Lonchura striata: one gene and its partner. The protein of the gene in region 1 interacts with the protein of each later gene in a biochemical or structural test. Links are inferred from orthologs where the notes say so. Each region holds a gene or a part of one and is shown in the gene's direction. Other genes may lie near its edges. The genes, in order: DCN and TGFB1.

Evidence for each region.
Region 2: the proteins of DCN (region 1) and TGFB1 form a complex in vitro, tested with the Homo sapiens proteins (3 studies listed by BioGRID). The link is inferred for Lonchura striata from reciprocal best matches to the Homo sapiens genes DCN and TGFB1.

What each region holds. Positions count from the first base shown.
Region 1 is NC_134607.1:52,848,990-52,865,836, reverse strand, and holds the start of DCN (decorin), read left to right. Parts: upstream 1-9,406; 5' UTR 9,407-9,598; intron 9,599-13,699; 5' UTR 13,700-13,727; coding exon 13,728-13,935; intron 13,936-16,847. UniProt on the Homo sapiens protein: May affect the rate of fibrils formation.
Region 2 is NC_134633.1:4,796,871-4,813,155, reverse strand, and holds the start of TGFB1 (transforming growth factor beta-1 proprotein), read left to right. Parts: upstream 1-9,688; coding exon 9,689-10,130; intron 10,131-11,937; coding exon 11,938-12,164; intron 12,165-13,298; coding exon 13,299-13,416; intron 13,417-14,854; coding exon 14,855-14,938; intron 14,939-15,936; coding exon 15,937-16,087; intron 16,088-16,285. Other genes in the region: zinc finger protein neuro-d4, read left to right, coding at 1,856-1,926; B9D2 (B9 domain-containing protein 2), read left to right, coding at 3,858-3,945, 6,039-6,164, 6,699-7,006. UniProt on the Homo sapiens protein: Transforming growth factor beta-1 proprotein: Precursor of the Latency-associated peptide (LAP) and Transforming growth factor beta-1 (TGF-beta-1) chains, which constitute the regulatory and active subunit of TGF-beta-1, respectively.

The sequences.
Region 1 (16,847 bases):
GATGAAATCGCTTCCACAGAATTTTTGCATGAAACAGAATGTAGAAAAGTGGTTTGTAGTAAGAACAGAATTTTTCATTGATTTTCCATTTGATTGTGTTGATTGTTTTAAAATACTATACATCAATTTTGATTATTTTAAATATTATTTTACCTTTTCAACACACAATTTGGAAAATCAGATTTCCTCTCTGATGATTTTGTGCCTTTTTGCCTTCAAAGAGATGGATTATTACAAAGACAAACAAAATGATATTCAGATAAAATAGTTTAATGCTACAGTTTCTAAAGCAAAATACATGTTGATGTAAAACTTTTTTTCACGGTGATAGAAAATATCCTTTTGTCCAGTTACTGCCTATATAGAGTATGTTGTTCTTCAAGGGAAAAGAGATGGAAAGAAGAAACAGATGCACAGAATTCTATATCTTATGTAATCAAGTGTTTATGAGTTTTGAAATTCTGAAAAGCTAAAACAAAAGTCCAAAATTCAGTAAGCAGTAGATCAAAACCAAAATCAATCTTTTACACTTACAATAAGCCTGGAAAGTCTGGGAAAAGGGCACACTGTAGGTCAGAGATTGGCAAAGCTGTTGCACATGTCACATCAGTCACTTCCGTTCATCAGCTTTATACAAACAAAATGAAACTAGGGAAAAAAAGAGGGTAAACTACTCTGAATGTCTAGAAATGCCATATTTAATTAAGTCACATTCTGTAGTAATTGACTATAAAATTGCCGGGTGCCCTAAGTCAAGAGTTCATAGTTATAGGAATCATAGGATCAGCACAATATTTTTTATCGTCCCACTTAGCACCAACACAAGGCTTGTCTATCATCACCACCAAAACACAATTCATTCTCATTTAGTCTACAAACCGGCAGATCCCTAAATGCACATCACATCTTAACCAGACAAGATGAAAATATACCCTTATGTCTTGATGAAAAACTAGATTATGTGAAAGGTAAAATTCACATTTTTCGGAATAGGCCCAGGAATTCTCAGACTGGTAAATATTGTACAAACTTTCATCATAAATCTATAATTTGACTCTCTTTTTCATTGATGAAAGATATCTAGTGTTATTTTGAAAAGGTTCTGACCTGAAATACAACAATGTGAATTTTCATAATCTACAGCCAGTGATGTTTTACTACAAAGAGAAGGTCATATTATGGCTTTGGTTTTTAGAAATAAAATATACTGAAATATACCTTTTAAGAAAAGCCATAAAAAATTGTCATCTAAAACAGGTCGGACCTTCTTTCAGGATTCAAATACTTTTAAGAACTAAAAAAACCCCATTTTGCTGTCTCCAGTGTATTTGACAATTACATTTCATACTTTTTTGGCATCACTAATATTGTTCTCCTTTAATCTGAAACATGCTGTAATAAATTACGAGTTCACTATTTGCAAAAGAAACCATACAAAGACACTGCTTGATTTGGAAAATAGCACCAAATTGTTTCTACAAACACAAAAATGGAGAGGCCGTGGGGAGACTTGCAGGAAAAAAGGGAGAATTTCAGTAGATGGTGCCAGCTCCATAACTCTGTACTAAATTGATATACAATGGCTGACCAGCAGCATTTGTGGATGGGAGTCAGAATATATTCAGAAACAAGGGGTGAAACTGAGATCTACACATGGAGCAATGTTTTGTTGTCATTGTAGGTGGATACCTGGGCTCAGCACACAAATCAGTCTTTGAGCCTCTCAGGCTGGCAATGCTGTCTCCTGTGTTTCCTGGGAACAGTTACAACCAAGTGGAGAAGAGATCCCAGTCGCTTCAGGTTCAGCCCTTCAAAGCCACAAAAAAATTAAGATGTATGAAAGTAATCCTAAACCTAAGTAACGCTAGCTTGTCCCTGCCAGCCTACTGCTGTCCAGAATACACGTTTATTCTGTTGAAAATGGGGGAAGGCAATGTCTTGGGGACATAGGAAGGAAGAGGATTGCAAATTGACTTGTTCTAAACTATATATGGTTACATCCTGCATATGCCCTTGACAAATAGATGGTGATTATTAGTTAGGCATTTCAAACTAAATATCAGGTATCCTTCAGGCCTAAAATATGACCTAACCTATAGACATAGTATAGTGGGACTTGTGGGGAAAAAAAGCCAACCAAACAAAACAAAGACACAAAAATAAGGATTTTGTAAGGCCTAAAAGGTTCTATGGAGTTTACAAGTTACTAGCATTTTCCTGGATGTATTTTTAACAGCTGCTTTTCTCACTTCCAATAATTTGTATAATTGTTTATTTTCTCAGACTTAATTCCATTGTTTCTTTTGTCAACTCTGTCTCATTTTAAATTGACACCAGAATGAATGGTATTGCAGGCTGAAAGAGGGTCAGATACAGCCTGAACTCCTCAGAGAGATGAAATTTCTAATTGTGACTGAAAGACAGGCTATTCCTCTTGTGAGACTGTTTTCAAAATTTTTGAAGGAGATACAGTGTACAGGAGCACAGTGAACAACATTTGAGAAATAACTGTTCTAACCATCCAAGTCTCAAGATCCAGTTTGGAGTGGGTTTTGTTTTATAAGCAGAGAACTGTCTCTGAATAGACTTTTCTTTGCATACACGTGGCTTCTTCAGAGGCAAGCATGCTATCTTGCAATAAAAAACTGACACATTCATTTTGAAACATCCTATTTATTTTTTACAATTAAAGCACACTATATTGATCCTTAAATTTAGTATATAGTTTCTAACTGGTACAATACACTGATCTTTTCAAAAGCTGTTAGATAGAGTGGATGTCTAGCTCTTTTCTGTGCCCATCCTCCAGTGCATTATGCAATACCTGATTTTCAGAAACTGCACTTTGAAAGTCTCTTTGAAAATCATAATCTATCAGGCGTATTTTAAAAAACTGTTAGCCACTTTTACAAATCTTTATTTAGACCCCTAAGGGTTTATACATTTTGATAGATGAAGATAAGTCAAGAAATAGACGTTGCAATTTCAGTAAGATGATATGATTTGTGTTTTCTGGAGCTTTGTCCCAGCATGCTCATAAATTCATCTATTACATATGCAGATCTAACAACAAACCAATCAAAAAGCCAAAAGAGAGACATAAATGCAAAGCAATATTCATAAGAGTAGTTTAACTTTTATTCAGCTGGAACACAACAGATGTGTGCTATCCTCTAAATTAAAATGTAGCCAGTCTTTATGGAACACAATATTCCTGAAGATAACTTAGAAACAAATGGTAAAGAAGGAAATAAAACAATGAGTAATGTAGAAAAAGGTCTAGAAAAATTATAGCCTTAATTTTTTTTTTCTGATTGCCAGTTAACATTCTTCTGTAATTCAATAACTGAAAAAATTGTCATCATATTTAAAGTTTCTCCATATAGAATTAAACTCTGTTTCATTTAGTAAACCTCACTATGTTTTATCCAGGTTGGCTATGGAAAATTTCTGTTGAGGAACATCAGCGCAATTTCTTAGTCAGCACAATCCTTTGAAGAGCTTATTTACAAGAATAAAAGGGAAAAAAAAATATATATTTTTAGTAGTCAAATAAAAGCTCATATGTGCTTAAGGCAAGACTCTTCAATTGCTTAAGGTAATACAATGGGTATTTTAAAGACTCTTCCCAAAATACCCAAGACTTTTATTTTTAAGTATTTATATTTTGAAAATCAAATTGTAAACTACTGCATTCTTTTGTAAACTTCCATTTCACCCTTCTTTGAAAACACAGTCCATACAAAACTGGTAAGTTTTGTGATGACATTGCTTATATTTTCAAAGTCACAATTTTGTATGTTTAGCTGAAGTTAGAATTTTTTCCTCACCAGATTGCCAAAAATGAACATTTTAATACAGAGAAAAAGACACAAAGGCTTATATAAATGCTGGGTTTTTTTCTATTCTGTTCCTTTTTATGGACTTTCCTCAGTAAAACAGTCACTAGCTCTCCCTGAACAAGTTTACTTGCTGTGATGACTACATTGGAAATCCAGGCTGACCCTTGTATTCACATGTTTTTCATAATCTGGGAATAGGCTGTTCAGAGCTGCACAGGATGTGCCTCATTTCAAATGCTGGTTCATAACCCATGACTAAAAGGGTACATGCAAGGAATACAGTTACAACATTTGCATGAATTACTGTCATCCTTTTCTAGGGCATTGTGTAATTCAGCTGGGATGACGAAGCTTATCCAGAGCATGATCTAAGGGCTGTCAAAATGAGAATTAAGGTCTGGATTTTTCATCTGAACCTTGGAAACAGTTGGACTGCAACTCAAGATACTGCAAAAAATACAAAATGCCAAAATCTGATGAAAGAGTTCTCACTGGAAAAAAAAAATTAATCTCGTTTTACCTAAACTAATCCTCTCCTCTTCAGTCATCACTTCTTCTTTCACAGCCCACACTCCCAAAATTATACTCTTTTTCTGGGAAAGTGTCTTTCTCAGGGACTTGTAGATTCCTGGAACCTTTGCTGATGTTAGCACACTCTTTCTTTCATCTAAGAAATTTTCTGGAGGACAGAAGGCTGCTGATGCAGGAACAAAATTAAATGCTGTAGCTGAAGCACAGCAAATGGAGCACCTGAGTACTGATATTCTGTCTATCAAGGTGTGTGAGAGCAGACTTTTTTGCCTGCATTTTCAATTTCTTTAATTAAAGGTGAAGAAGTAAAGTCAAAGTGAAGTTCTGGGATCTTTGGTCCACAATCACTTACTTATCCCTCATTCTTTGCTTGTAGCATGGCTAGGAGTTGGTAGGACTCAGACAAAGTCTAATTTTACCTATTTCCTGCATTTTTGAGGGAGAGAGGTAAGATCAATCTGAAAATGTACATCTACACTACAAAAACATGAGGATTAGGCAGGAAATGTTTCCTCCTCAAGGGCAGAAGTTAAGTTCAGAGTGTTTGAAATCATAGTGAGCAGTAAGGCTATATCAATATGTGGTTAACTTTGACAGCTGCTAGAAAGACCTGGACAACATTATTTTATTCAGGAGAGAATAGAAAAGCCAGTGGAAATGAAAGCCAGTCAAGTTTAGGAACAGATAGGCCTTTCCAAAGAAAAGAGACCAAAGTGAAGGATATGATCACATGTCAGATCCTTCAGCTGAGGAAAATTTGAATTAGTTTCCTAGAGTGACCTACAGATCCCAGAGACTTCCTTCAGAAGACAGGAAAGATGACCATGAGAGGTAACAGTACATGCTCTTGCAGAGTGGGAAAGGGAGAGATGGGATGATAGACAGTGACAGAAGAGACCTAGTCCTCCAAAAAGAGAGCTTTGTCTTTCGAAGTTTGACTGCATTTTGTTCAAACAGTTGTACAAGTATTGCTTTTCACAGAAGCATAAATAATATGTTACTGGTAGCACACATCCAAAGTCAGATACATTAGCCCTTTTGATCTGTAGAAATGTGAAAGAGTTCAGGCTGATAATTTCTGAGGTCACAGAGTGCTGAAGGAAACTTTCATACTCAGAATATCCAGAAATTACATTTCTTCTCTTTAACTACCTTGTTAGGCTGTGCCTAGGTCAATATTTACCTGGATCAATGTTTACTAAGCTGGGGTGCATATTTACTCACATTCTTAGTAAAGGAACTTCACTGCTAACTGTGAAGAACAGTTTTCTACACTTATTTGGAAGACATTATTATGCCTAGTGCAGAAAGAAGAGACAGTCTGTAGTAGCACCATCATGTGGAAGATGAAATGCTAGGAAGCTGTGCATAAAAGTCCAAGTGTGAGATACCAAGGAGGTGGAGAGGGTTTCCATGAGGCAGCCAAGTGAGAGATTTGTTTTTTCCATTCCTGATGGGGATCAGCACTTACCTGATGGAGACTGGCACTTAACTCTGTTTTATTGAGGACTTTGAGGCAGACTTGCCTCTTTACCACAACAACCACAACAATGCTAACCAGTCTTTGATCATCAAAGCTGGGATTTATTAGATGACAGTCCAAGAAAATGCCTTCTTCTCCGATGAAAACTTGGAATTAGTATCTCTGGGACATGGGACGCCATGTTCCTGCAGAACAGATCTTGCCCTGCTTTCGTTTCATTCCAGGAGCTTCTGGATTGCAATAAATGTTACCCATTTTTTCCCAGACTCCCTCAAATAAGCCTTTCTTTCCACACCCAGGGACAAATTATCTCAGTTCCTCTGAGGAGTTTTCAATCTGTTCTGGAAGCACTGGGTGCCCGCTGGACATGCCTCTCCTCCAGCTCAACCCCGTGCTCCAGGAGCAATTTCCCCAGGAAATGCTTTCTCCATACAGGGCAGTGTTCATATCTTTCCTGCAGAGACTTCCACTGGTCTCAGGTAAAGCACTCACCAGCAAGTGGGCTTCCTGCCTTCTTTCCCACCACTGCCCTTTGGAAGGTCCACAAAATACACCAAGAGCAAATGAAGCAGATGCTATCTATCAAAATTTAATAAAAATATTGTTATATAAATAACATTAACATGCAGTTGCCTGTATCTTTCTGGGAATCAGCATTTGGAGCAGCATGTAGTCCTAAAAGTTTCTTAAACTGGAGTAATAAAATCACAAAGAAACCAAGACTGTTCTAATGATTATTTTTTATATTGACTAAGCCGTAGTCAAAGTAGGTCAGACTGGGAAGGATAGCTGATTGACGCTAGGCCCTGTGTAGTGTCACAAGGGACATAAAGTTATATAATCACTTAATATTGTTCCTTAGGGTTTTTTTTGCCTTTTTTTTTTATGGTTGTTTATCTTCTGAGTGACACAGCAGGGGGCAAAGAGTGAGATTAAAGGAATACTTGCACCAGAAAGCATTCCCATGAAAACATGAAAATATTGTGTGTTCAGAGAAGGGCAATGAAGCTGGTGAGGGTTCTAGAGAGTAAATCCTAAGAGGAGCAGCTGAGGGAGCTGGGATTTCTTAACCTGGAGAAAAGGAGGCTCAGGGTTGACCTTATCACTCTCTGCAACAGCCTGATGGGAGAATCCAGCCAGGTGGGGGCTGGTCTCTTCTCACAGGCAACCTGCAATGGGATAAGAGGAAACAACATCAAGCTGCATCAGAGGATGTTTAGATTGGACATCAGGAAGAATTTATTCATGGAAAGGGTGGTTAAGCATGGGAATGGGCTGCCCAGCAAGGTGATGGAGTCACTATCCCTGAAGTGTTCAAGAAAACACTGGATTTGTCACTTAGGGCCATGGTCTAATTGGCAAGGTGGTGATCAGTCAAAGTTTAGTCTCAAAGACCTTGGAGGTCTTCTCCAATTTAAATGATTCTGTAATTCCTCGATTCAAAACAACTAATATTATTAATAAGGTATTACATCAATATTCAATGTCGTAAGTCCTCTCCCATTCAGTTGCTCTGTTCCACCTAACTCCACTTTCTATTTCAGGAAGGGCTGTACACATAACACACAGCTCTTCTACTTCTGGGTATTAACAGGTAACAGAAATGTTTTCATCATTCCTAAAGCTCGTAAAATCTTTTCCCCTCTGAGCTTCTTGGAATGGATTTCATGCAAGAAAACAGAACCCCCAGCAGACACCCTGTGCTCCACCTGTTCCCATCAATATCTTCATTTTTGAACCTCCCTAACGTCTATGACAAGGAGAAGGAGAGATGGCTGCTCATCCCCCCTCTGCCTCCAAAGAAATTACTGAGGCATTAAATTACAACGCCTTTCAACCCCATGACAGATATCAGAACAAATGTATTAAGGCTGTGCTGCAAAAGCATATGAATGGGTTTTGTGAAGCAAACTGACAACAAGTTTACCCTGACCTGTTCCTCATCAAAATCTTGCTTTGAAATGTTTTTAAACACCAGATGCAGCTGGTGACCAAGGTTCAAATAACTGACATTACTAAGATGCACCAAGATTTCAGCAAGCCTCATGGCGACACTTATGAACAAAGATAAGGCTTTGTTGTAACCATGAAAGCTTGGAACACCACTAATCATATATAGGAAAATGTCATAACAAAAACCATTGAATCCAGTAGAGATGCAGGGAAAAGAAGTTAGCTTAAGGACTAGGGGTGAATAATTGATCCTTAACTTTTAGAGTGAGCTATATAAGGAATCTGTAAGATGTCTGATTACACCTTTGTTCTACAGAGACCAAAACTAACAGACAATTATTCTACCATGCTTTCTTCCACCAAAGGAGAACAATTTTAAGATCTATCATAAGGGCTCTTCTTGAATTTAAATGAGGAGGACAGCTAAAATTTCAAGAGTCTATTATGTTTCTAAAAAATTCTGACTTCTTTTAAGCATCATTTTACAGGCTTTAATTTCAGATTTGCACCTGGTCTTTGCCTTGGGGCAGAAATAAAAAGGATGCAAGTCAAAACACAGAAACACAAGCCTTCAGTATTTAGATAGGACAGCTAACAACAATGTGTTTGGATTAGTAAATAAATAGCAATTATTGTATTTTCTCTCATTTCAGATCACTTTACTTTTAAAATTATGTAGGAATAAAGAAATTGCATTTTGGCTTCCAGTATCAGTTGCATAAAACCAGAAATTGCTAAAATAAAACATAAATCTAAATAATAAGTCAGATGAATTTTCCTTCCCATGTTTTAAAAAAATCTTTTCTGTCTCATAAAAAAAACCCCTAACTAGCCAAAAAAAAAAAAAAACCACCCACTAAAAAAATTAAAACACACAAAAAAACACCATCACAAAACCCAAACAGTTAAAGCTAATTTTCCCTCTGTTTTGCTGTCCTGGTGAGAAGGCAGTGAAGGAAAAAAAAAAAAAAAAAAAAAAAGCAAAGTTTATATAAAGCAGCTCTAACCACAAATGTTAGAATCATTTTACTAATGAAAACATGATTTTCGTATATATCAAAACCATGCTGTCATTTGAAAAAATACATACAAACTTTATTATTAGACCAGATAATAATATATTAAACTATATACTACTTAGTTTGACAGAGATTATAGCATAAGTAAAAGCAGGTTGATATCTGTTTAAATAGTTTTATTAAAAGCTAACACTTTTCTCCTGATATTAATCTCTAGTTTGCCTAACTCAAAGATTAATTTTATATAATTTTGTTGATTTCCAAATAATATAAACAAGAGGGAGAGCTAAACATTTTTTTCATTAATGAGTCGTAAACCCCCCCATAGCTAAAACCAAGAAAACTTTCCTAAATATATGTTGTAGGAACATAAATAAAGTAAGTAGGATGAATTACAGCTAAGAATTTGTCTTATAATGTACAAGTAGTTTGGGATTGTAAACAGATGAAAGAGAAATAAAGAAAATGAAAAGGGAAAAGGAGGAAAAGAAAGCAAAAGAGCTGATAAAGTTTCTGGCTGCAATACAGGAGACATATCATTACCATATGATCTAATGTGGGTGTCAGCCTGGATTGTGTTCATTGAGAGAAACATTTTTTAACTGTGCTATGGAATAGAAGCAGGAGGGTTTTCCACCAAGTGACAGTCACTGAGCTGAATTTACCCCCTCCTCCTTTCCACACCTGCAAAGCCTTCTGCCTGGGTTGAATACTTAGTTTAATTACATCTCTGCTTTGAGAGCTCCTGTTGCAAATCCCTGGATTAAAAGGTACGGTTTTTAGTAATTCTTCTGAACTATGCTGTGCTAATAAAACTTCGGGCAAGTCTATGGCAAGAACTATTTGAATTTTAAGAGAAGCAAGTCAAAAATCCTTCTAAATGTTTAGTAATGTTAAGTTTTCTATGCAGCACTTTTGTTTCTTGGAAACATGAGAATACATTCTCAGACTGTGCAAATTTCCTGCTGTTTATTTGACTATTCTGTCTCTTGTTTTGATTTGTATAAGCACTACTATAGTCCTTTCTTTTTCTTTGCTGTAAACTTTTACAGCAGTATATTCTCTGCAATCCGGTGTTTAGAATTGGTGATACAGAGAGTAAAAAATGCGTGTATGCTTACATTTCTGCTTTAAACTGCACTCTGTGATTTCTTTCTCATGTGTTTCTTCATATATATTTCAGACAGTGATGAATATAATTTCAATTTCAGAGGAAAAAAGTGTAGTAGTGAGTTAAACGGGCTCTGTGCATGCCTTTGTAATGTTAGAAAGTGCTATGTTAGAGGCTGGAATCATGATTAAAGAAGGCTCTTATGAATGAAATAGTAGAAAAGAAAATTCATGCAGTTGAAACTCCTGTTAACAAAGTTTTATTCTCTAAAACGTCCAACTCCTGTGTTTGCATATATGGACTTTATTGCACAAAATGGGCAAAACATAAAATGGAGGGGAATTTTTTGAAACTGGAAAATATTGTTTAGCTTGGCATTGTGGAATTTTGAGAGATTTCTGACAGTAGGTGAACTAATAATTTAACCTTAATATTAAGGTAAACTGACAAGAAGACCACCAATACAGTGGTGACGTGAACTGATGAAGCATATTTTCAGCGGTATTTTAAAACGAAATGTGGCCAAGCTTATGGTATAGTTTCCTCTGCTTGTGGAAAACTCTTCTTCATTGTAAACACATAATTAAAGGAATTTTAAACAGTTATGTCCTGCAGACATAAATATTGTTTCACAGAATTCAGATTTTTTTGTCCTCTCTACTTTTTTTTGGTAAGTGAAGTGTAAACATTTCTTGGTAGTACAGTTTTGTGTATATCTTTTTTTTTTTGTTTATGTTCAATTACACATGCAAGCAATAGGAACAGATATATGTGTGTGCAGTATGAATGCATATGTGACTGAAGATATCCATTCCTATGTTGTGATTAATATGTAGGGTCTCCTGTTTTCTCTGCTGTATCCTCAGATTATATACTTGATATCCTTTGTTGTCCTACAGTTTTCCTTTATAGACAGCTCTTTCTGATTTCATTAAAGTTTTTACAAAACAGGGACAAATAGAAAGGCCTGCTACAGGGTTTAACTGAGATAAATGAAGTCATCAATATTAATGTGAATAAAAAGCAAAGTGCCTTTACATTTTTTTTTTTTTCTTTTTTGACTTTTCTGAATGGTAATAATTAAACTCCAGGATAAGATCCTGATTGTGCATTCTTGGGATGGGTGGTACTTCAGCAGTGACCCTGAAAGGGATTGAATAAGTTTTAAGTATTTTAAAATGTTTTAAAAAAGTATTAATACATAAAAAAAAGACAGGAAGGTCTTTAAAGGTCCTGACTGCCACTGCCATTCAAGAATTTGTGTGCAGCATTCCCAATGTTTATTGTTGTTAATATATATTCTGAAAATTAATTTGTACTGGGGTAATGTTTATTGGTCACTTTCACAAGGCAGCATATTGTGATGAATGGTGATGGTTTAGCAAATTTTTCTTCTCATCTGAGATTATTAATAAATTGCATTGTTATTTTACAGTAACTTGCACATGATGATTACTCTTTCAAAAATCATGTTTTAGATGAAACCCTGTTAACAGCTCACTGCCATGCACTAACAGCACTTTGCTGTGACATTCTGACATGTCCCTGTGCACTGTGCCTGCACTGGCAGGGGTGTTGGAGGGAAAGGGACACAGCCCCAGTGTAAGCGGGTAGCCAGGGCAGGAGGATGATCCACATGGGAACACAGTCTGTCCCTGCTACATGTCATGAGTTTACACAACACTGGCTGACAGAACATCCTACAAACTCTCTAGCTGATGTTGGGGTCTGTGACCCTCCTCAGTACATGCAGTAAGTAAGGTGTCTGTTCCAGGAACAGAAGTGCTTTCATGTCCAAGAAAACAAATATGTCCCTGAAAGAGACAACATAAACAGTGTTTTACTCCATGTGGTTTCACTTTGAAGTCTTTGGGATGTCTGAAGATGTTAGCTACATGTCTTCCTGACAGGTAGATCACAGGAACATAGACTGTGATTTAAAGACACCAGCATATTTTATTAGGCAACCTAATCATCTTCACAAGAAACAAGACCTAAAGGTTTCTGGAGAACTGTATTATTGGCTCCTGTAGGTAGGAATTCATAAAGGAAAATGAACCTAGGCACCATGTAAATTGTATCTAAATCCAATCTCATGTTTTTTTATATATATTTAGTTTTTTTCTTAGCACTAACTATTCCTTTTAGAATACCTGGTTGTAGTATATTAGAAAGGCAGGCTTCAGTAAACTATTTGCACCTAATATCATCTGTTCATTCTTGTCATCTACCTGGTAGGTTCCATATGTCAAAGTAGACAGGGAGGCAGTCCTCCACTTCTGCCTCTCCCAGTTTTTTTATCCAATAGTGAATATGGAGCTGAAAAATGCTCTACCACACCCCTAGCTGTTTGATAACTTCTAGAAAATGAAATAATCCCAGCTAGCACCCAGGCAAGGTGTTGCTAAGATATCGTCCTGAAGAAGCAAGTGGACACTTTTGCTTTCATTACAAAGAGCAGCATCTGTATTTAGGATTATGCCATCCATTTTAAGAAAAAGCTTCTATATAAATGACAAGTTTGCCTTTGTGTCTCTTGCCAATTTGAAGGCAGATTTAATTTTGGTGGTTTTGGGTGGTTTATTGTTTTGTTTATTTTATGGGGGGATTTTTTTTGTTTTGTTTTTTGGATTTTTGGGGTTTTTTTTGTTGCTTTTTTGTTTATTTTGTTTTTGTTTTTCTTTTTTTTGTTGGTTTTGGTGGGTTTTTAAAAATAAATTAAAGTTAGTAAAGTATGGACTTCATTATATAAAATACAGAGTAAAGGAAAATAATATTCAGAAAATTATCTGGTCTTTATAGCCTTGATACAAAACCTGCAAACAGTTGTGCAATTTCTCCTTAATGCACAACAAGACAGGTAGGACAACCTAGAGTGTGTTGAAATGCATCTAAGCCAAAGTCCTGAGAACATGTATTTAAGCAGCTTTTCTTGTTAATATCTATGGCAACACTTACTTGTATAAAGTTGCTCCTGACCATGAAAGTCTGCAGAATGAAGCCCTGAAGTCCTATTAGAAAGTGTGCACACAACATTGCAAGCATCACTTCAAATGCTTATGCAGTGCAAAGCAAGATTCTTAGGGTGGATGTCAAAATTTAGAAAGAAAGCCAAGACTATTCAATATATCACAACACTGTATTCCATTTTATTGTGTTGTCTGAACTGGAAAGAAGTATAGTGCATTTAAACAACTAAAGATCTTCCCCTCACTTTCCACCCTGTCACTAAATCCTACTCTTTCTGAGTCAGTTTTACTAGGTTATAATTTAAAACACACAGCAAGCCGATACTTAAAAAATATTTCTCAAGACACGAAATACTGAATTACAGTGAGTTTGGGAACCTCAGGTTTGTCCCCAGAGTCAAACCCATTGCTATGAAATAAATGCTAATGAAATCAAATAGACTGTTATGTTGGCAGAAAATAGGCACATGGAAAATGTGGCTTATTGCTTTGACTCTTTTGCATAACAAAGTTGACAGCGCTGCCTGTTTCTAAAAAATATTACTCTAAATATGCAAACAGATGTGTTTACTGTTGCCTTTAAACTGCTCTGCAAAAAAAAAAAAAGGCCTATTGACAAGGAGTTACTACCAGACTCCTATCACATAACTGTCCTATTTTTACAATTCAGTTTTCTTTTATTGAAAGGAACAGTTATGCAATTGGTGGATGTGCTGGACCTCCTTCAGGAGGAACTGTGCTACTATGGGAAACTGCTACTTTTGTTATTAATCCACTGCTTTGAATCCTAGGTTCTACTGGGAGTCAATGAACTAAGCCATGAAGAGGCTGGCTCTACTCTTTGTGCTCCTGCTGCCAGCATGCTTGGCCAAGCCCTTCCACCAGCAGGGCCTCTTTGACTTTATGCTGGAGGATGAGGGCTCAGCTGACATGGCTCCGACGGATGATCCCGTCATCTCCGGCTTTGGACCCGTGTGCCCCTTCCGCTGCCAGTGCCATCTCCGTGTGGTGCAGTGCTCTGACCTAGGTAAGCCAAGAGCTTCTCCAGAGGCTCTGTAGTCGCCTTCTAGTCACAGGCTAGCAGCTGGGACGGATAGGCTGCCATGGACTGTCACTCCCTCACTGCCTTGTTTCAAATAAATACGCTACTGCTGCAGTTAACCAGAATTTACTATACAAAGTAGGCCATAAAGCCTGGGCAAGATGGGCATTGTTGTGACCATGAAGAAGGGTTGATTTTTTTAACATTTAACATTTCACTTGTTCTTTGAAAAGCCATGGATTTCTCCTGCAGAGAAAATAACTTTTCAAAGTATTCCTTCAGATTAATATAAATAAATGCAGTAAAGTTAGATGTGGATGTGTAAATATTTTGAAATGTTCTAAATTGTGTGGTCCAAGGTCCAACACCTTTAATCATACTGTCTAGTGCCTCAACATAGATGTCATCTCATTTTCATAGGAATGCATGAGCATGAAATCACCAACTGAATCATATATATTGGAACCAGCTCTTAGGAGTAAAGGGCTTGGAAACACACCAAAATAATGAACACAGCATGGAATTCCTTATTAAATATCTTTCTAAGACACTATATAAGCTGAAACCATGAGAACATTCCTCACAAACTTTCCTTACTCCCTTATGTAAGGGAAGGGCTTGTGTGCACAGAGTAGCAGGATATGAAGCCATGTCTGCCATCACTATATTTGACTTCTCAATGCAGAAATCTCAAGTAATGAAGATCACTTCTGTGAGACTGCTCTTAGTTTAAACCAGTATAATTCAGTGTACATTTATTTAGTATATAGTGCAGAAAATCAATTAGAGTTGGTTTTGCTCACAAGAAAACAGACAAATAACTGCTCATGATCTTATAGGGCTTCTTTTTTCTTTTAGTCCTCCTAGCTCTTTAAATGTATAACTAGGTATTTCTATTTTCCTGTTATAACATTGGCTTTGATAGTCACTATAAATCATGGCACAAATCCACCAATTAGGACCTGTTTCTCATTGTTTTAGGGGTTGTATAATTACAGAAAGGAGGAAAAACTTTAGCTATACTCCTAGAAATTTCTGTGAATTTATTAAAGTGAGCCATGTAATTATGCAACAGATATGTTTGGCAAAGACTCAGTAAACAATGCTGCACAAAACAGAGTGGGCTAACCTAGCTATACTTTCAGAAAGCTTCCACAGTACTAAACCTCCTGAAAGATGGGGGTTTTTTACCATATAGGTGCCAGAGAGAGCAAACATGGAATGGGGAGTGGGGAGGAGATTGCCCCACATGCCATGAAAGTCTTAGGTTTTATTATTGTTACACTTAGTAATGCTGATGGAATTTAAGTTATTTAGAGATCTTGTTCTCAGTCTGCTTCAATTCTGCAGAATGTAATGAGTTTTCACTTGGTGAAAAAGTAGAGACATTCACACAGGGACCCTTTGCTCCTGTACTTGCTCCTCTGGTCATGCACTTCTTCACAGACACATTGTTTACAGTCCATTGCATAGATACTCCCATACTGACAAAGAGACTCAGATATACAGCAATTAAGTCCCCAGGTCAGTGTTTCCCAAATAATTTCACATGGGGTGAAAAGAAAGAGATCTATTTTGAGCTTTCTTTAAACCCACATGCTGCATATCATACAATGAAAAGATTGTACTTTTGGATCCACTGGGCTGATAGCATCCAAGCCAGCTCAAAATATATAGCCCTGAAAAATAAATAAACAATACTTCCCTGGTAGAACTCAAGGAAGTATTTATCAAGCAGTGCCAGCCTTGGCATTGAGTTTCACCCATCTTTGTCACATGTGACAGCCCCTGGTGGGACACAGCCCAGCTGGGTGGCTCATGAAGACACGAGTCTGCTGACTGCCCTGCAAGCAGGGACAGGAGAGCTCTGTGTCACCTGCTCACAGGTAAACCTGACCTTTACTCTTCTGAATTCACTTCTGTATGACAGACCCAGGCAAAATCAAATTTACCTGCTGACTTGAGAAAAGACAGTTGCTAGCCTTTTGCTGCGAACTGTGGTGTGTTTCAGGGATCAGGAGCTCAATTTGCACATGGAAGGCTTGAAACTAGCAAAGTTCTACCTCCCTATTAACCTGTGCTCCTGGCCTCTCTCTCCCTTCAGCTCTGTGCTTTTCCAACCCAACCAAATTAGCTACATCCGTCCTCCAAAATTATCAAATTTTGTCATCTAGTCCCATGGGTACTAGTTGATGAAAAATTTCAGGCAATAACAATGTTCCTCAAAGGGCATATTAAGACCTTCCTAAATAAATTCTCACAAAGGAAAGTTGAAACTTGAATCAGGATCCTTTTCCCTCCTCACTCTCTTGCATGGAAGGAATGTTTACAGCCATGAGCCCATGGATGCAGGGGTCATGCCAGAGCTGTAGCTGGAGAACCCTAACACAGGCAACATATGGAGACGTCTCCTCTTCCTCAGCCTGTTTCTTTTGTGCCTAAATGGGCATTTGGTATTTGTAGATTCTTACTTCATAAGGAAAAAACCACCATCTGACAGAGGGTTATGTGAATAAACCACAGGAGAACTATTGAATCCAGAGTCCAGAGATCAGATTTGCCCCTTTTCTCATGAGCACTGGATGGGAATGATAAAAAAATAAAATCCAAGTTCCAAAAAAACAGTGAAAAAAATGCCCAGTGGTCCAATTACACTCATGTCAGCTGAATTTTTGCATTCCTATAGTCTTGAACTTCAGTCACATCTTCCTAAACACACACCTACAAATTAATTTATTTTGCCTCCCAGCCAAGAGCTGAGTTGACAAGAAGGATAATGCTGCCTTCTCACATCCTGAAAAATAATTCTAATTTTGGTTACTGGTGGATCAAAAGCAGAACTCCATGTGCCTACATTTCATGAGAAGTATTACCTTTGCCAACAGCTCAAGTATCTT
Region 2 (16,285 bases), on another chromosome or scaffold:
TGGGGGGATTTTGGGGGGATTTTTGGGGTTTTGAGGGGGTTTTGGTGGGATTTTGGGGAATATTTTGGGGGGTTTTGCAGGGAATTTGGGGGATTTTGGGGATTTTGGGGATTTTGGGAGGATTTTGGGAGGATTTTGGGGGGATTTTTGGGGGATTTTTGGGGGGATTTTTGGGGTTTTGCGGGGGTTTTGGTGGGATTTTGGGGACTATTTTGGTTGGGATTTTGGGGGGGATTTGGGGAATTTTGGGATTTTGGAGAATATTTATGGGGGATTTTGGAGAAATTTGGGAGGATTTTGGGGGGGTTTGGAGGGATTTTGGGGGGGAATTTGGGAGATTTTGGGTCATTCTTTGGGGGATTTTTTTGGGATTTTGGGAGATTTTTGAGAGGAATTTGGGGGAATTTTGGAAGGATTTGGGAGATTTTGGGGGTTTTGGAGGGATTTTGGGGGTTTTTTTTGGAGGGAATTTAGGGAATTTTGGAAGGATTTGGGAGATTTTGGAGATTTTGGGGGATTTTTTGGAAGTTTTGTGGGGGTTTTGGAGGGATTTTGGGTTTTTTTTTGGAGGGAATTTAGGGAATTTTGGAAGGATTTGGGAGGTTTTGGGGAGTATTTGGGGAGATTTTGGGGAAGATTTTGGGGGATTTTAGGGGAATTTGGGTGATTTTGGGGCATTTAGGGTTTTTTGGGGGGATTTTGGAGAAGATTTTGGGAAAATTTGGGGGGATTTGGGAATTTTTGGGGAGAATTTGGGGAGATTTATGGGAGGATTTTGGAGAATATTTTGGGGGATTTTAAGGGAATTTGGGGGATTTGGGGGATGTTTGGGGATTTTTGGGCAGATTTTGGAGAAATTTTGGGAGAAATCTGGGAGAATTTGGGAGAATTTGGGAGAATTTGGGTGGGTTGGGGGGGGCTTGGAGGCATTTAGGGGCATTTTGGGGGGATTTTGGGAGATTTTGGGGATTTTGGGGATTTTAGGGGATTTTTGGGGGGATTTGGGAAGTCTTTTAGGGATTTTGGGGGATTTTTTTGAGATTTTGGGGATTTTTGGGGGGATTTTGGGGGAATTTTGGAGATTTTGGGAGAAATTTGGAGGGATTTTGGGAGGGTTTGGAGGCGTTTTGGGGCATTTTAGGGATGGAATTTGGGAGATTTTGGGTCATTATTTGGGGGATTTTGGGGATTTTTTTGGGATTTTGGGGGGATTTGGGGGATTTTGGGGGATTTTTGGGGGGATTTGGGGATTTTGGGGAGAATTTGGGGGGATATTTGAGGGATATTTGCCAATTTCGGGGGGAGTTTTTGGGATATTTTTTGGATACTTTTGGGGAATATTTACCGATTTCGGGGGGATATTTGGGGGAATTTTGGGGCTATTTTTGGGGAATATTTACCAATTTTTGGGGGATATTTGGGGGAGTTTTTGGGCTATTTTTGGGGAATATTTACCGATTTCGGGGGGATATTTGGGGGAGTTTTGGGGCTATTTTTGGGGAATATTTACCAATTTTTGGGGGATATTTGGGGGAGTTTTTGGGCTATTTTTGGGGAATATTTACCGATTTCGGGGGGATATTTGGGGGAGTTTTGGGGCTATTTTTGGGAGATGTTTACCAATTTCGGGGGGATATTTGGGGGAGTTTTTGGGCTATTTTTGGGGAATATTTACTGATTTCGGGGGGATATTTGGGAGAATTTTGGGGCTATTTTTGGGGAATATTTACCAATTTTGGGGGGATATTTGGGGGAGTTTTTGGGCTATTTTTGGGGAATATTTACCGATTTTGGGGGGGATATTTGGGGCCGTTCCGGGGCCATTTTTGGGTTGAAATTCGGCGTTTTGGGGCAGGGAGCTGGAGCTGCCACCTGTGCCTGCGGCAGCTGAAGGAAAAGGCCTCGGCCTTCATCACCCTCCCCTAGGGGGGGCCGCCCCCCAAAAACCCCCAAAAACCCCCAAAAACCCCCAAAACCCCCGACCCCCCCCCAAAAACCCGACAAAAGCCATAACCGAGCTGGGGGGGGGGAGGGGAGGTTTTGGGGAGGGGGCTCCCAAATTTTGGGGGGGGGGGGGGGCGCCGAGTGTTGCATGATGGGAAATTTTGGGGGTCCCTCCCCCCCCTCCCGCGCCCCCCTCCCCTCCCCCCCCCGCGGGCGGATTTTGGGGGGGTTTTTGGGGGGGGTCGGGAGGGGGGGTGGGGGAGGGGAGGGGGTTGGGGGTCTCTCCCCCCCCCCAACCCCTCCCCAAATTTTGGGGGGCCCCCCCCCGTGGTGTCGTGGTCGGTTCTGTGCTGTGGTGTCCGTGCAGTAAATTTGGGGTGACCCCCCCGTGACCTCTGACCCCGTCTGGGGGGGGGGAGGGAATTTGGGGAGGGGGAGGGGCGGGAATTTGAAGGGGAATAAAATTTTGGGGGGCAGGGGCAGAATTGGGGGAGGGGCAGAATTTGGGGGGAGGGGCAGGAATTTGGGAAAGGAGGAATTTGGGGAGGGGAGGGAATTTGGGGAGAGGAGCGAGAATTTGGGGAGGGGGAGGGGTGGGAATTTGGGGCAGGAATTTGGGGAGGGGGAGGGGCGGGATTTGAGGGGAAGGAAAAATTTGGGGGGGAGGGGCAGAATTTGGGGGAAGGAGGAATTTGGGGAGGGGGAGGGGCGGGAATTTGGGGGAGGGGGTTGAAATCTAGGAGAGGGAATCCCAAAATTTGGAGGGAAAAGTAAAATTGAGGGGAGGGACATGAAATTTGGGGTTTTTCCTCAGTTTCGGTGTTTTTTCCCCAATTTTGGTGTTTTCCCCCCAATTTCTGGGTTTTTCTCAGTTTTGGGGATTTCCTCCCCAATTTCTGGGTTTTTTCCCCCTAATTTTGGGGGATTTATCCCCAATTTTAGATTTTTCCCCCCAGTATTGGGTTTCTTCCCCCAATTTTGAGTTTTCTCCCAATTTTGATTTTTTCCCCCCAATTTTGGAGGCTTTTCCCCCCATTTTTGTTTCCCCCCCCAATTTTTTGGTTTCTTTCCCCAATTTCTGGGGTTTTCCCCAAAGTTTTGGGGTTTTCCCCCAATTTTGGTTTTCCCTCCCCCCAAGTTTGTAGTTCTTACCCCAATTCCTGGGTTTCCCCCCAATTTTGGGGTTTTTCCCCCAGTTTTGGGGTTTTTGCCCCAATTTTGGGGTTTTCTCCCAAATTTCTGTTTTTTTCCCCAATTCTAGTTTCTCCCCTCCAGTTTTGCAGTTTCCCCCTCCAGTTTCTGGGTTTTTCCCCCAGTTTTGGGTTTTTCCTCCCAATTTTTGGATTTCCCCCGAATTTTTGGATTTTCCCCCAATTTTGGTTTTTTCCCCCACTTTGGGGCACCCCAAGATGGCGGCGGTACACACAAGATGGCGGCGCCGCCCTCAAGATGGCGTCCCCCTACTCTGTAACGCCCAAGATGGCGGCGGCCGTACGGCAAACTCTGCCTCACACGCATGCGCAGTGATAACGCCGCTCTTTGTGGGCGTGGCCTGACCCGCATTGACCAATCAGCGCCGGCCCGGCGTTACCGTGGCAACGCAATGCGGCAGCGCCGCCCGCGCATGCGCAGTGGCGGCGCGGGCAGGGGGCGGGTGAGCGCCGCGCGGGCGGAATTTTGGGGGGAATTGTGGAAATTTTGGGGAATTTTGGGGGGAATTGTGGCGATTTTGGGGATTTTTGGGGGGAATTTGGGGCGGGGGACGGAGGGGATGGGTGGAGATGAGGGAGGGACGGGCGGGGATGGCGGGAGGGGAGAACGGGGCGGTTTTGGGGGGGATTTTTTGGGATTTTTTGGGATTTTTTTGGGGGGATTTTTGGGGTGAATCCGGCGGGTTTCGGGTCCCGCAGCCCATGGCGGAGCTGCACCTCTTCGGGCAGATCGAGAGCGGCTGCGGCTTCTCCGAGCGGCGCCTCTTCTGCAAGTGGGGGCTGCACGCCGGTGAGCGCGGCGGGGTGGGGGTCTGGGGGGATTTTGGGGATTTTTGGGGAATTTTGGGGAATTTGGGGGAATTTGGGGGATTTTGGGAGGGATTTGGGGGAGTTGGGAGGAATTTCGGGGAGTTTTGGGGGAGTTTTAGGGGGATTTGGGGATTTTTTTGGAGGATTTTGGGGGGATTTCGAAGGGATTTGGGGAGATTTTGGGAGGAATTTGGGGGATTTTGGGAGGAATTTCGGGAGGTAAGGGGTGGGTTTTGGGAATTTGGAGGGGAGATTTGGGGATTTTTGGAGGATTTTGGGGGGTTTTGGGGATTTTGAAGGAGATTTTGGGGGGATTTTAGGGGGATTTGGGGGGTTTGGGGGATTTTGAAGGAGATTTTGGGGGAATTTCGGGAGGTTTTGGGGGGATTTTAGGGGGAGATTTGGGGATTTTTGGAGGATTTGGGGCGGATTTGGGGGTTTTGGGTGGAATTTGGGGGATTTTGGGGGAGTTGGGAGGAATTTCGGGGGGTTTTGGGGGCACTTTGGGGATTTTAGGGGGATTTGGGGGAGGGTTTGGGGGAGATTTTGGGGGTCTTGGGGAGATTTGGGGGGATTTTGGGAGGAATTTGGGGATTTTGGGAGGGATTTTGGGGGATTTTGGGAGGTAGTGGGTGGATTTTGGGGATTTGGGTGGGAAATTCGGGTTTGTTTGGAGGATTTTGGGGGGATTTGGGGGAGGGTTTTGAGGAGATTTGGGGTTTTTGAAGGAGATTTGGGGATTTTGGGAGGAATTTGGGGGATTTCTGGTGGGATTTGGGAGATTTTGGGGGGATTTGGGAGATTTTGGGGGATTTTGGGGGGTCTGGGGGATTTTAGGGAATTTGGGAGGAATTTTGGGGGGATTTTAGGGGTTTTGGGGGAGAGATTTGGGGATCTTTTAGAGGATTTTTGGGATTTTGGAGATTTTGGGGGATTTGGGGGGATTTTGAGGGGAACTGGGGGAATTTGGAAGATTTTGGAGGGATTTTGGTGGGATTTGGGGAGATTTGGGGACATTTGAGGAGTTCTGGGCAGATTTTGGGGGGATATTGGGGAGATTTGGGGGTTCCGGGGTGATTTTGGGGGGACCTGGGGCTTTGGGGCCATTTGGGAGAATTTTTGGTGGTTTTCGATGATTTTTGGGTTATTTTAGGTGATTTGGGGATCATTTTGGGGTGATTTTGGTTAATTTTTAGGGTGATTTGAGGTTATTTAAGAGGATTTTGGTGTCCCAGGTGATTTTGGGGTGATTTGGGATGATTTTGGGGGATTTCGGGGGTTTTGGGGTATCCTAGGTGATTTTGGGGGGATTTTGTCGTGATTTTTGGGGTGATTTTGGGGTGATTTAGTCTGATTTTGGGACATTTCAGGCTGATTTTGGGATATTTCAGGGTGATTTTGGGACATTTCGGGCTGATTTTGGGACATTTTGGGCTGATTTTGGGAAATTTTGGGCTGATTTTGGGGTGATTTTCTCTGATTTTGGGGTGATTTTGGCTGATTTTGGGCCGTTTCGGGTACTGGCGCCACCTGGACCCTCCTGGCTGATTTTGGGGTGATTTGGGGCCATTTTGGGTTGCTTTTGGGATATTTTGGGGTCATTTTCCCTAATTTTGGGCCACTCCGTGCTGCAGGCTCCGCCTGGACGCTGCTGGCTGATTTTGGGGTGATTTTGGGACATTTTGGGGTGATTTTCCCTGATTTTGGGCCGCTCCATGCTGCAGGCGCCGCCTGGACGCTGCTGGCTGATTTTGGGGTGATTTTGGGGTGATTTTGGGACATTTTGGGCTGATTTTGGGCCGTTCTGGGCGCAGGCTCCGCCTGGACGCTGCTGGCTGATTTTGGGGTGATTTTGGGCTGATTTTGGGACATTTTGGGCTGATTTTGGGCCGTTCTGGGCGCAGGCTCCGCCTGGACGCTGCTGGCTGATTTTGGGGTGATTTTGGGGTGATTTTGGGACATTTTGGGCTGATTTTGGGCCGTTCTGGGCGCAGGCTCCGCCTGGACGCTGCTGGCTGATTTTGGGGTGATTTTGGGACATTTTGGGCTGATTTTGGGCCGTTCTGGGCGCAGGCTCCGCCTGGACGCTGCTGGCCGGGGCGGGCGCGGGGCAGACCCAGCTCGACGACCCCCAGGGGGGCGACGCCGCCCAGTGGAGCCACCCCCTGGACCTGCACCTGGGGACACGCGGCCTGCAGGGTGCGGGGACACCCGTGGGGACATCGGGGACACTGGGGGGACATTGGGGACACTGGGGACAGTGGGGACATTGGGGACACTGGGGACATTGGGGGGATTGGGGGCACTGGGGGGATTGGGGACATTGGGGACACTGGGGACATTGGGGACATTGGGGGGATTGGGGACATTGGGGACATTGGGGACATTGGGGACATCGGGGACACTGTCAGGGCCATGGGTGTTCAGGGAGGACACTGGTGGTGTCAGGGTCCCCAGGTGTGTCCCCAGTGTCCCCAGTGTCCCCCCAGTGTCCCTGATGTCCCCAATCCCCCCAATGTCCCCATGTCCCCCCAATGTCCCCATGTCCCCAATGTCCCCAGTGTCCCCAATCTCCCCAATGTCCCCAATCCCCCCAGTGTCCCCAATGTCCCCAATCCCCCCAATATCCCCAGTGTCCCCAGTCCCCCCAATGTCCCCAATCCCCCCAGTGTCCCCCCAGTGTCCCCACTGATGTCCCCACTGATGTCCCCAGTGATGTCCCCCTGTCCCCAGGCTGGCCCAAGCTGCTGCTGGAGGTGTGGCACGTGGACGCGTGGGGCCGGCGGGGCCTGGCGGGCTACGGCGTGTGCGCGGTGCCCAGCGCGCCCGGCTGCCACCGCGTCACCTGCGTCACCTGGCGCCCGCGGGGCACGCGGCGCCAGCGCCTGCTGGGCCCCGGCGCCCCCGAGCTGCGCGACCCCGCCGGGGCGGCCGCCGGCGCCGCCGAGCGCTTCCGCCTGCGCACCGAGGCCGCCGGCACCGTGCGGCTGCGCCTCGGCGTCCTGCCGCGGCACATGGCACGGTTTGGGGTGGCACTGTGACACTGGGGACACTGGGGACACCATTGGGGACACTGGGGACACCATTGGGGTGATGGGGACACCATTGGGGACAGTATGACACCATTGGGGTAATGGGGGCACCGAGGCCGCCGGCACCGTGCGGCTGCGCCTCGGCGTCCTGCCGCAGCACATGGCATGGTTCGGGGTGGCACTGGGACATTGGGGACATCGGGGTGGCACTGTGACACTGGGACACCATTGGGGACATTGGGGACACCTTTGGGGGGGTGATGGGGACACTGGGGACACCATTGGGGACATTGGGTTAGTGGAGAAACCATCAGGGACATTGGCACCGTGTGGCTGCGCCTCGGCGTCCTGCCGCGGCACATGGCCAGGTTCGGGGTGGCACTGTGACACTGGGACACCATTGGGGACATTGGGGACACCTTTGGGGTGATGGGGACACTTTGGACACCATTGGGGACATTGGGGACACTGGGGTAATGGGGGCACCATCGGGGACACCGGCACCGTGTGGCTGCGCCTCGGCGTCCTGCCACGGCACATGGCGCGGTTCGGGGTGGCACTGTGACACTGGGGACACTGGGGACATCATTGGGGTGATGGGGACATTGGGGACATCACTGGGGTGATGGGGACATTGGGGACATCACTGGGGTGATGGGGACACTACTGGGGACAGTATGACACCATTGGGGACATTGGGTTAATGGGGACACCATTGGGGACACCGGCACCGTGCGGCTGCGCCTCGGCGTGATGCCGCGGCACATGGCGCGCTTCGGGGTGGCACTGTGACACTGGGGACACTGGGGTGGCACTGGGGACACTGGGGACATCATTGGGGGTAGCACTGCGGACACCGGGGTGGCACAGTGACATTGGGGACACCATTTGGCACACTGGGGTGGCATGGTGGCACTGGGGACGCTGGGGTGGCATGGTGACATCAGGGACATCATTGGGGACACCAAGGTGGCACTGGGGACACCACTGGGGACACTGGGGTAACATGGTGGCACTGGGGACATTGTTGGGGACACCACTGGGGACACCGGGGTGGCACTGGGGACAGGGTGACCTGGGATGACATCCTGGGGACACCCTGGGGACACCGGGGTCACCTTGGGGTGGCACCTGGGGGGGGCCAGGACAGGAGGTGACACCTGGGGAGGGTCCCCAAACTTTGAGGGGAGGGGACAACCCTGGTGGCATCCCGGAGGAACCTCCCCAAAATTGTCACCTCCCCTTTGTCCCCAGATAAAAGTTTTGTCACCAAATGCGGCTCAGGGGGGGGTTTGGGGGGGAGGGGACAATTTGGGACAATTTTGGGGGGGGGAGGGGACAATTTTGGGGGAGGGGACAATTTGGGGAGGGGAGGTGGCAATTTTGGGAGGGAGGTGACAATTTTGGGAGGGAGGGGACAATTTTTGGGGAGAGGTGACAATTTTGGGGGGGAGGTGACAATTTTGGGGAGGGAGGTGACAATTTGGGGGGGAGGGGACAATTTGGGGAGGGGAGATGACAATTTGGGGAGGGAGGTGGCAATTTTGGGAGGGAGGTGGCAATTTTGGGAGGGAGGTGACAATTTTGGGGGGGTCCTGGAGCCCCTCCCCCATCGCGGGTGTCCCCCCGCCCCTCCCCCCTCCGGAAATGTCCCAGACGCGGAAGCGTCGCCCCCTCCCCCCCCCGGGCCGTGACTCAGTTTCCCTTCCCCTCCCCTCCCCCCTTCCCTCCCCCCCCCCGGCCCCGTTTCCTGGGTGGGGCCCGCGGCGAAACGGGGCCAAAAGTGGCAAAATCGGGCAAAAAGCGGCCAAACAAGGGACAAAAAGGATAAACCGGGACAAACCGGGACCACCCGGGACAAAGCGGGACCACCGAGGACGACCGGGAAGGATCGGGACCACCCGGGACAAAGCGGGACCGGTAGGGACAACCGGGACCAGCCGCGACAAACGGGACAACCCGGGACAACCCGGGACAACCCGGGGCACAACCGGGACCACCGGGACAGTCGGGAGCGGAACCGAGCCCGGGAGGGGAAATCCGGGCGGGTTCCGTGCGGGGTGTCCCGGGTTAAGACCCGGTTCCGGACTGCTCTCCCGGTTTTGGGGAGTTTGTCCCGGTTTTGGGGAGTTTCTCCCGGTTCTGAGGAGTTTATCCCGGTTTTGGGGGGTTTATCCCGGTTCTGAGGAGTTTATCCCGGTTTTGGGGAGTTTCTCCCGGTTCTGAGGAGTTTATCCCGGTTCTAGGGGAGTTTATCCCGGTTCTGGGGGGGTTACCCCGGTTCTGAGGGGGCGTGTCCCGGTTTAGGGGATTTATTCCGTTCCCGGGGGTTTATCCCGGTCCCGGTGTCTTTAACTGCTCCCGGGAATTTCTCCCGGTCTCTCCCTGTCCCGGTTTAATCCATCCTGGTCCTTTATCCCGGTCCCTCCCGAGGCTTTATCCCGGTCCCTCCCGAGGCTTTATCCCGGTCCTTCCAGAGGCTTTATCCCGGTCCTTCCAGAGGCTTTATCCCGGTCCCTACCGATCCCTCCCGAGGCTTTATCCTGGTGCGTCCCGGTTTCCCGTGTCCGGTCCCTCCCGAGGCTTTATCCCGGAGCCTCCCGGTCCCTCCAGAGGCTTTATCCCGGTTCCTCCCGAGGGTTTATCCCGGTCCCTCCCGAGGCTTTATCCCGGTGTCCGGTCTGTCCCGGGATGCGGCTGTCGGTGCGGGTCCCGGTGCCGCTGTCCCTCCCGGTCCCGGTGCGGGTCCCGGTGCGGGTCCCGGTCCCGGTGCGGGTCCCGGTGCGGGTCCCGGTGCCTGTCCCGGTGCCTGTCCCGGTGCTGCTGGCCGCGCTGCTGGCCGCGCTGGCCGTGCCGTGCCGCGCTCTCTCGTCCTGCCGCACGCTGGACCTGGAGGCGGCGCGGCTCAAGCGCATCGAGGCCGTGCGGGGCCAGATCCTGAGCAAGCTCCGGTTACCGGCGCCGCCCGCGGAGCCCGGCCCGGGCCCGGCCGCGCTGCCCGAGGACGTGCGGGCGCTCTACAACAGCACCCGGGAGCTGCTGCGGCAGCGCGCCCGGCGGCGCCCGCCCGAGCAGCCGCAGGACTACTACGCCAAGGAGCTGCTGCGCTTCCCCATGGAGAGCCCCGGGGACGGTGAGGGACACCTGGGGACAGCTGGGGACACCTGGGGACACCTGGGGACAGCTGGGGACAGCTGGGGACAACTGGGGACACCTGGGACATCTGGGGACACCTGGGGACACCTGGGGACACCTGGGACACCTGGGGACAGCTGGGGACACCTGGGGACAGCTGGGGACAACTGGGGACAGCTGGGGACACCTGGGGACAGCTGGGGACAACTGGGGACACCTGGAACACCTGGGGACACCTGGGGACAACTGGGGACAACTGGGGACACGGGAGGACACAGGGACATGGGGACATGGAGGGACACAGGGGGACACCTGGGGACACCTGGGGACACCTGGGGACACGGGGACATGGAGCAGCCTGAGGAGCCACAGGACTGCCCCGCCAAGGAGCTGCTGCGCTTCCCCATGGAGAGCCCCGGGGACGGTGAGGGACACCTGGGGACATTTGGGACACCTGGGGACACCTGGGACACCTGGGGACAACTGGGGACAACTGGGGACAACTGGGGACACCTGGGGACACCTGGGGACACGGGGGGACACCTGGGGACACCTGGGGACAACTGGGGACAGCTGGGGACAGCTGGGGACAACTGGGGACACCTGGGGACAGCTGGGGACACCTGGGACACCTGGGACAACTGGGGACAACTGGGGACACCTGGGGACACGGGGGGACACCTGGGGACAGCTGGGGACAGCTGGGGACAACTGGGGACACCTGGGGACAGCTGGGACACCTGGGGACAACTGGGGACACCTGGGGACACCTGGGGACAGCTGGGACACCTGGGGACAGCTGGGGACAACTGGGGACACCTGGGGACAACTGGGGACACCTGGGGACACCTGGGACAACTGGGACACCTGGGGACACCTGGGACACCTGGGACACCTGGGGACACCTGGGGACACCTGGGGACATTTGGGGACACCGGGGACACCTGGGACACCTGGGACACCTGGGGACACCTGGGGACACCTGGGGACATTTGGGGACACCTGGGGACACCTGGGACACCTGGGACACCTGGGGACACCTGGGGACAACTGGGACACCTGGGGACAGCTGGGGACACGGGGGTGGCACCGGGACACGGGGGGACACGGGGACATGGAGCAGCCTGACCAGCCGCAGGACTGCCCCGCCAAGGAGCTGCTGCGCTTCCCCATGGAGAGCCCCGGGGAGGGTGAGGGACACGGGGACACCTGGGGTGACATGGGGACATTGAGGGACAGCTGGACACGGTGACCCCTGGGTGACCCCACGGTGACTCCTCGGTGACCTCCTGGTGACCCCTGGGTGACCCTGAGGTGGCCTCCAGTGGCCTGGTGTCCCCTCTGTGACCCCTCTGTGTCCCCAGTCCCCCAATGTCCCCAAATGTCCCCAGTGCTCCCCATGGCCCTGGATGTCCCCAGTGTCCCCGATGTCCCCAACCCCCCCAATGTCCCCCCAGTGTCCTCAATCCCCCCAATGTCCCCACTGTCCCCGCGCTGTCCCCGCTGTCCCCACTGTCCCAATCCTGTCCCCAATGCTGTCCCCGCTGTCCCAGCGCTGTCCCCGCTGTCCCAGTGCTGTCCCCAGTATTGTCCCCATGCTGTCCCCGCTGTCCCAATCCTGTCCCCACGCTGTCCCCGCTGTCCCAATCCTGTCCCCGCTGTCCCAATGCTGTCCCCGCTGTCCCCCCACTGTCCCCAATGCTGTCCCCAGTATTGTCCCCACGCTGTCCCCGCTGTCCCAATCCTGTCCCCGCTGTCCCCAATCCTGTCCCCACTGTCCCCACGCTGTCCCCGCTGTCCCGCAGGTGAGGCGCAGCGCTGGCTCCCCACCCCCCGCAGTCTGTTCTTCGTGTTCAACACGTCCCGCCTGCGGGCCGGGCTGGGCCGGGCCGAGCTGAGCCGGGCCGAGCTGCGCATGCTGCGCCAGGGGACAGCGGGGACAGCAGCGGGGACAGCGGGGACAGCGGGGACAGCCACAGGGACAGCAGCGGGGACGGCCCTGGGCACGGAGCAGAGAGTCGAGCTCTACCAGGTGGGCACTGGGACACTGGGGACAGTGGGGGATTGGGGACAATGGGGACATTGGGGACATTGGGGACATGGAGACATTGGGGACATTGGGGGGATTGGGGACATTGGGGACATGGGGACATTGGGGACATGGGGACATTGGGGACATGGGGACAGTGGGGGATTGGGGACATTGGGGGGATTGGGGACATGGGGACACTGGGGGATTGGGGACATGGGGACATGGGGACATGGGGACAGTGGGGGATTGGGGACATTGGGGACATTGGGGGGTTGGGGACATTGGGGGGATTGGGGACATGGGGACATTGGGGGATTGGGGACATTGGGGACATTGGGGACATTGGGGACACTGGGGACATTGGGGACATTGGGGACATCGGGGACACTGGGGGGATTGGGGGATTTGGGGACATTGGGGGGATTGGGGGATTTGGGGACATTGGGGACATTGGGGGGATTGGGGGATTTGGGGACATTGGGGACGGCTCCAGAGCCACCCCCAGCGAGGGTGGGGGGACCCAGCCCTGGCCTGGCCCCAAATTTGGTGACAAACTGGTGTGACGTCACCTGGGCCCCCCGATGTCCCCAATCCCCACAATGTCCCCATGTCCCCAGTGATGTCCCCGATGATGTCCCCGTGTCCCTGATGATGTCCCTGATGATGTCCCCACTGTCCCTGATGATGTCCCCGTGTCCCCAATGATGTCCCCGATGATGTCCCCGATGATGTCCCCACTGTCCCCAGTGATGTCCCCATGTCCCTGATGATGTCCCCAATGATGTCCCCGTGTCCCCGATGATGTCCCCGTGACCCTGATGATGTCCCCGTGTCCCTGATGATGTCCCTGATGATGTCCCCGTGACCCTGATGATGTCCCCGTGTCCCCGATGATGTCCCCAATGTCTCCGATGATGTCCCCGATGATGTCCCCGTGTCCCCAATGATGTCCCCATGTTCCCCGATGATGTCCCCGTGTCCCCGATGATGTCCCCGTGTCCCCGATGATGTCCCCGATGATGTCCCCATGTCCCTGATGATGTCCCCAATGATGTCCCCAATGTCCCTGATGATGTCCCTGATCTTGTCCCCGATGATGTCCCCAACGTTGTCCCCCGTGTCCCCGTCTCGCAGGGTTTCGGGAACTCCTCCTGGCGCTTCCTGCAGGGCCGCTCCGTCAGCGTCACCGCCGAGGACGAGTGGCTCTGGTTCGACGTCACCGACAGCGTCCGGCAGTGGCTGCGCGGCTCCGGTGGGCCCGAGCTCCCAAAATTCCCACAAAATTCCCGGAAATCCCGCAAAGTTCCCGGAAATCCCGCAAAATTCCCGGAAATCCTGCAAAATTCCCGGAAATCCTGCAAAATTCCCAGAAAATCCCCCAAAATTACCGGAAATCCCGCAAAGTTCCTAGAAATCCCGCAAAATTCACGGAAATCCCACAAAATTCCCAAAAAATCCCACAAAATTCACGGAAATCCCGCAAAGATCCCAGAAATCCCGCAAAATTCATGGAAATCCTGCAATGTTCCCAGAAATCACACAAAATTCCTGAAAATCCTGCAAAATTCACGGAAATCCCACAAAATTCCCAGAAATCCTGGAAAATTCCCCAAAAATCCCGCAAAATTCCCAAAAATCCCGCAAAATTAATGAAAATCCTGCAATGTTCCCAGAAATCCTGGAAAATTAAGAAAAATCCCACAAAATTCCCGGAAATCCCGCTAAATTCCCAGAAATGCCGCGAAATTCTCGAAAAATCCCAAAAAATTACCGGAAATCCCGCAAAATTCCCCAAAATCCTGCAAAATTCATGAAAATCCTACAAAATTCATGAAAATCCCACAAAGTTCCCAGAAATTCTGCAAAATTCCCAGAAATCCTGGAAAATTCCCCAAAATCCCCCCAATGTTCCTGGAAATCCTGCAAAATTCCCAAAAAACCCGCAAAATTCCCAGAACTTCTGCAGGAATTGGCCAAAATTCCACCCGAATACGGCAAAATCCCCCCAAAAATCCGAGCGTGGCTCCAGGGGGGACGGCGGCGTCGCCACAGCCCCAAAAACCCACAGACCTTCCCAAATCCCCCCAGAATCCCTCAAATTTCCCCAAAATCCCCCAAATTCCCCCAAAATTCCCAAATTCCCCCAAAATCCCCCAAATTCCCCAAATTTCCCCAAAATTCCCAAATTTCCCCTTTAGAGCCGCTGGGGCTGTTCTGGCTCAGCATTCACTGCCCCTGCGAGCCAAAACCCCCAAAATTTCTACAAAATCCCCCCAAATCCCCCCAAAATCTCCCAAATTTCCCCAAAATCCCCCAAATCCCCCAAATTTCCCCTTTAGAGCCGCTGGGGCTGGTCCGGCTCAGCGTTCACTGCCCCTGCGAGCCAAAACCCCCAAAATTTCCCCAAAATGCTCCTAAATTTCCCCAAAATCCCCCCAAATTTCCCCCAAATCCCCCAAATTTCCCCAAAATCCCCCAAAATTCCCTAATTCCCCAAATTTCCCCTGCAGAGGTGCTGGGGCTGTTCCGGCTCAGCGTTCACTGCCCCTGCGAGCCAAAACCCCCAAAATTTCTACAAAATCCCCCCAAATTTCCCCAAAATCCCCCCCAAATCCCCCCAAAATCTCCCAAATTTCCCCAAAATCCCCCAAATCCCCAAATTTCCCCAAAATTCCCAATTTCCCCTTTAGAGCCGCTGGGGCTGTTCCGGCTCAGCGTTCACTGTCCCTGCGAGGCCGCCGGCGACGCCCCCAGCCTCAAAATCTCCATCGAAGGTACCGGCAGCGGATTTTGGGGGGATTTGGGGGATTTTGGGGATTTTTGGGAATTATGGGGGATTTTGAGGTGATTTTTGGGAGTTTTGATGGAGATTTTGGGGAGATTTGGGGGATTTTGGGGGAGATTTTGGGGAATTTGGGGGGGATTTTGGGGGGATTTTGGGGATTTGGGGGACTTTCAGGAGGAGCTTTGAGGGGGATTTTTGAAAGATTTTGGGGGTTTTTGAGGGATTTTGGGGGGATTTTGGGGATTTTTGGGAATTATGGGGGTTTTGGGGGGATTTGGAGGTAAGTTTTGGGAGTTTTGATGGAGATTTTGGGGGGTTTTGGGGAGATTTTGATGGGGATTTTGGGGGGACTTTGGGGGATTTTGGGGGATTTTGGGGGGACTTTGGGGGATTCGGGGGATTTGGGGGATTTTGGTGAATTTTGGGGGGGATTTTGGGGACTTTCAGGGGGAGCTTTGACAGATTTTGGGGAATTTTGGAATTTTGGGGGGATTTTGAGGGATTTGGAGGTGATTTTTGGGAGTTTTGATGGAGATTTTGGGGGCATTTTGGGGGGGTTTTGGGAGGGGTTTTGGGGGGATTTTGGGATTTTTTGGAGGATTTTGTGGGATTTTGGGGTGGATTTTTGGATTTCGGGTGAATTTTGGGGGACTTTGGTGGGATTTGGGGATTTTGGGGGGATTTTCGAGGATTCTGGGAGACTTTGAGGGGATTCGGGTCGATCTGAGGCGTTTTGGGGCGTTTCGGGATTTTTTGGGTGGATTTGGTTTCAGTTTGGGGCATTTTGGGGAATTTTCAGCAGCAGCGCCGGGACAGCGAGAGCTGGGTCCCCAAATGTCCCCAAAATGTCCCCAATGTCCCCAGTGTCCCCAATGTCCCCGATGACCCCGATGTCCCCAATGTCCCCAATGTCCCCAATCCCCCCAGTGTCCCCAATGTCCCCAATCCCCCCAATCACCCAATGTCCCCGTGTCCCCGTGTCCCCAGGCTTCGAGCAGCAGCGGGGGGACATGCAGAGCATCGCGCGCCGCCACCGCCGGGTCCCGCACGTCCTGGCCATGGCGCTGCCGCCCGAGCGCGCCCAGGCCCTGCACGGCCACCGGCAACGGCGCGAGCTGCAGGGCCAGCACTGCGGGGGGTGGGGACACGGGGACACCGGGGGATTGGGGACACTGGGGGGATTGGGGACATTGGGGGGATTGGGGGGATTGGGGACACCAGGGGATTGGGGACATCAGGGACATTGGGGACATTGGGGACATTGGGGACATTGGGGGGATTGGGGACATTGGGGGGATTGGGGACACTGGGGGGATTGGGGACATTGGGGGGATTG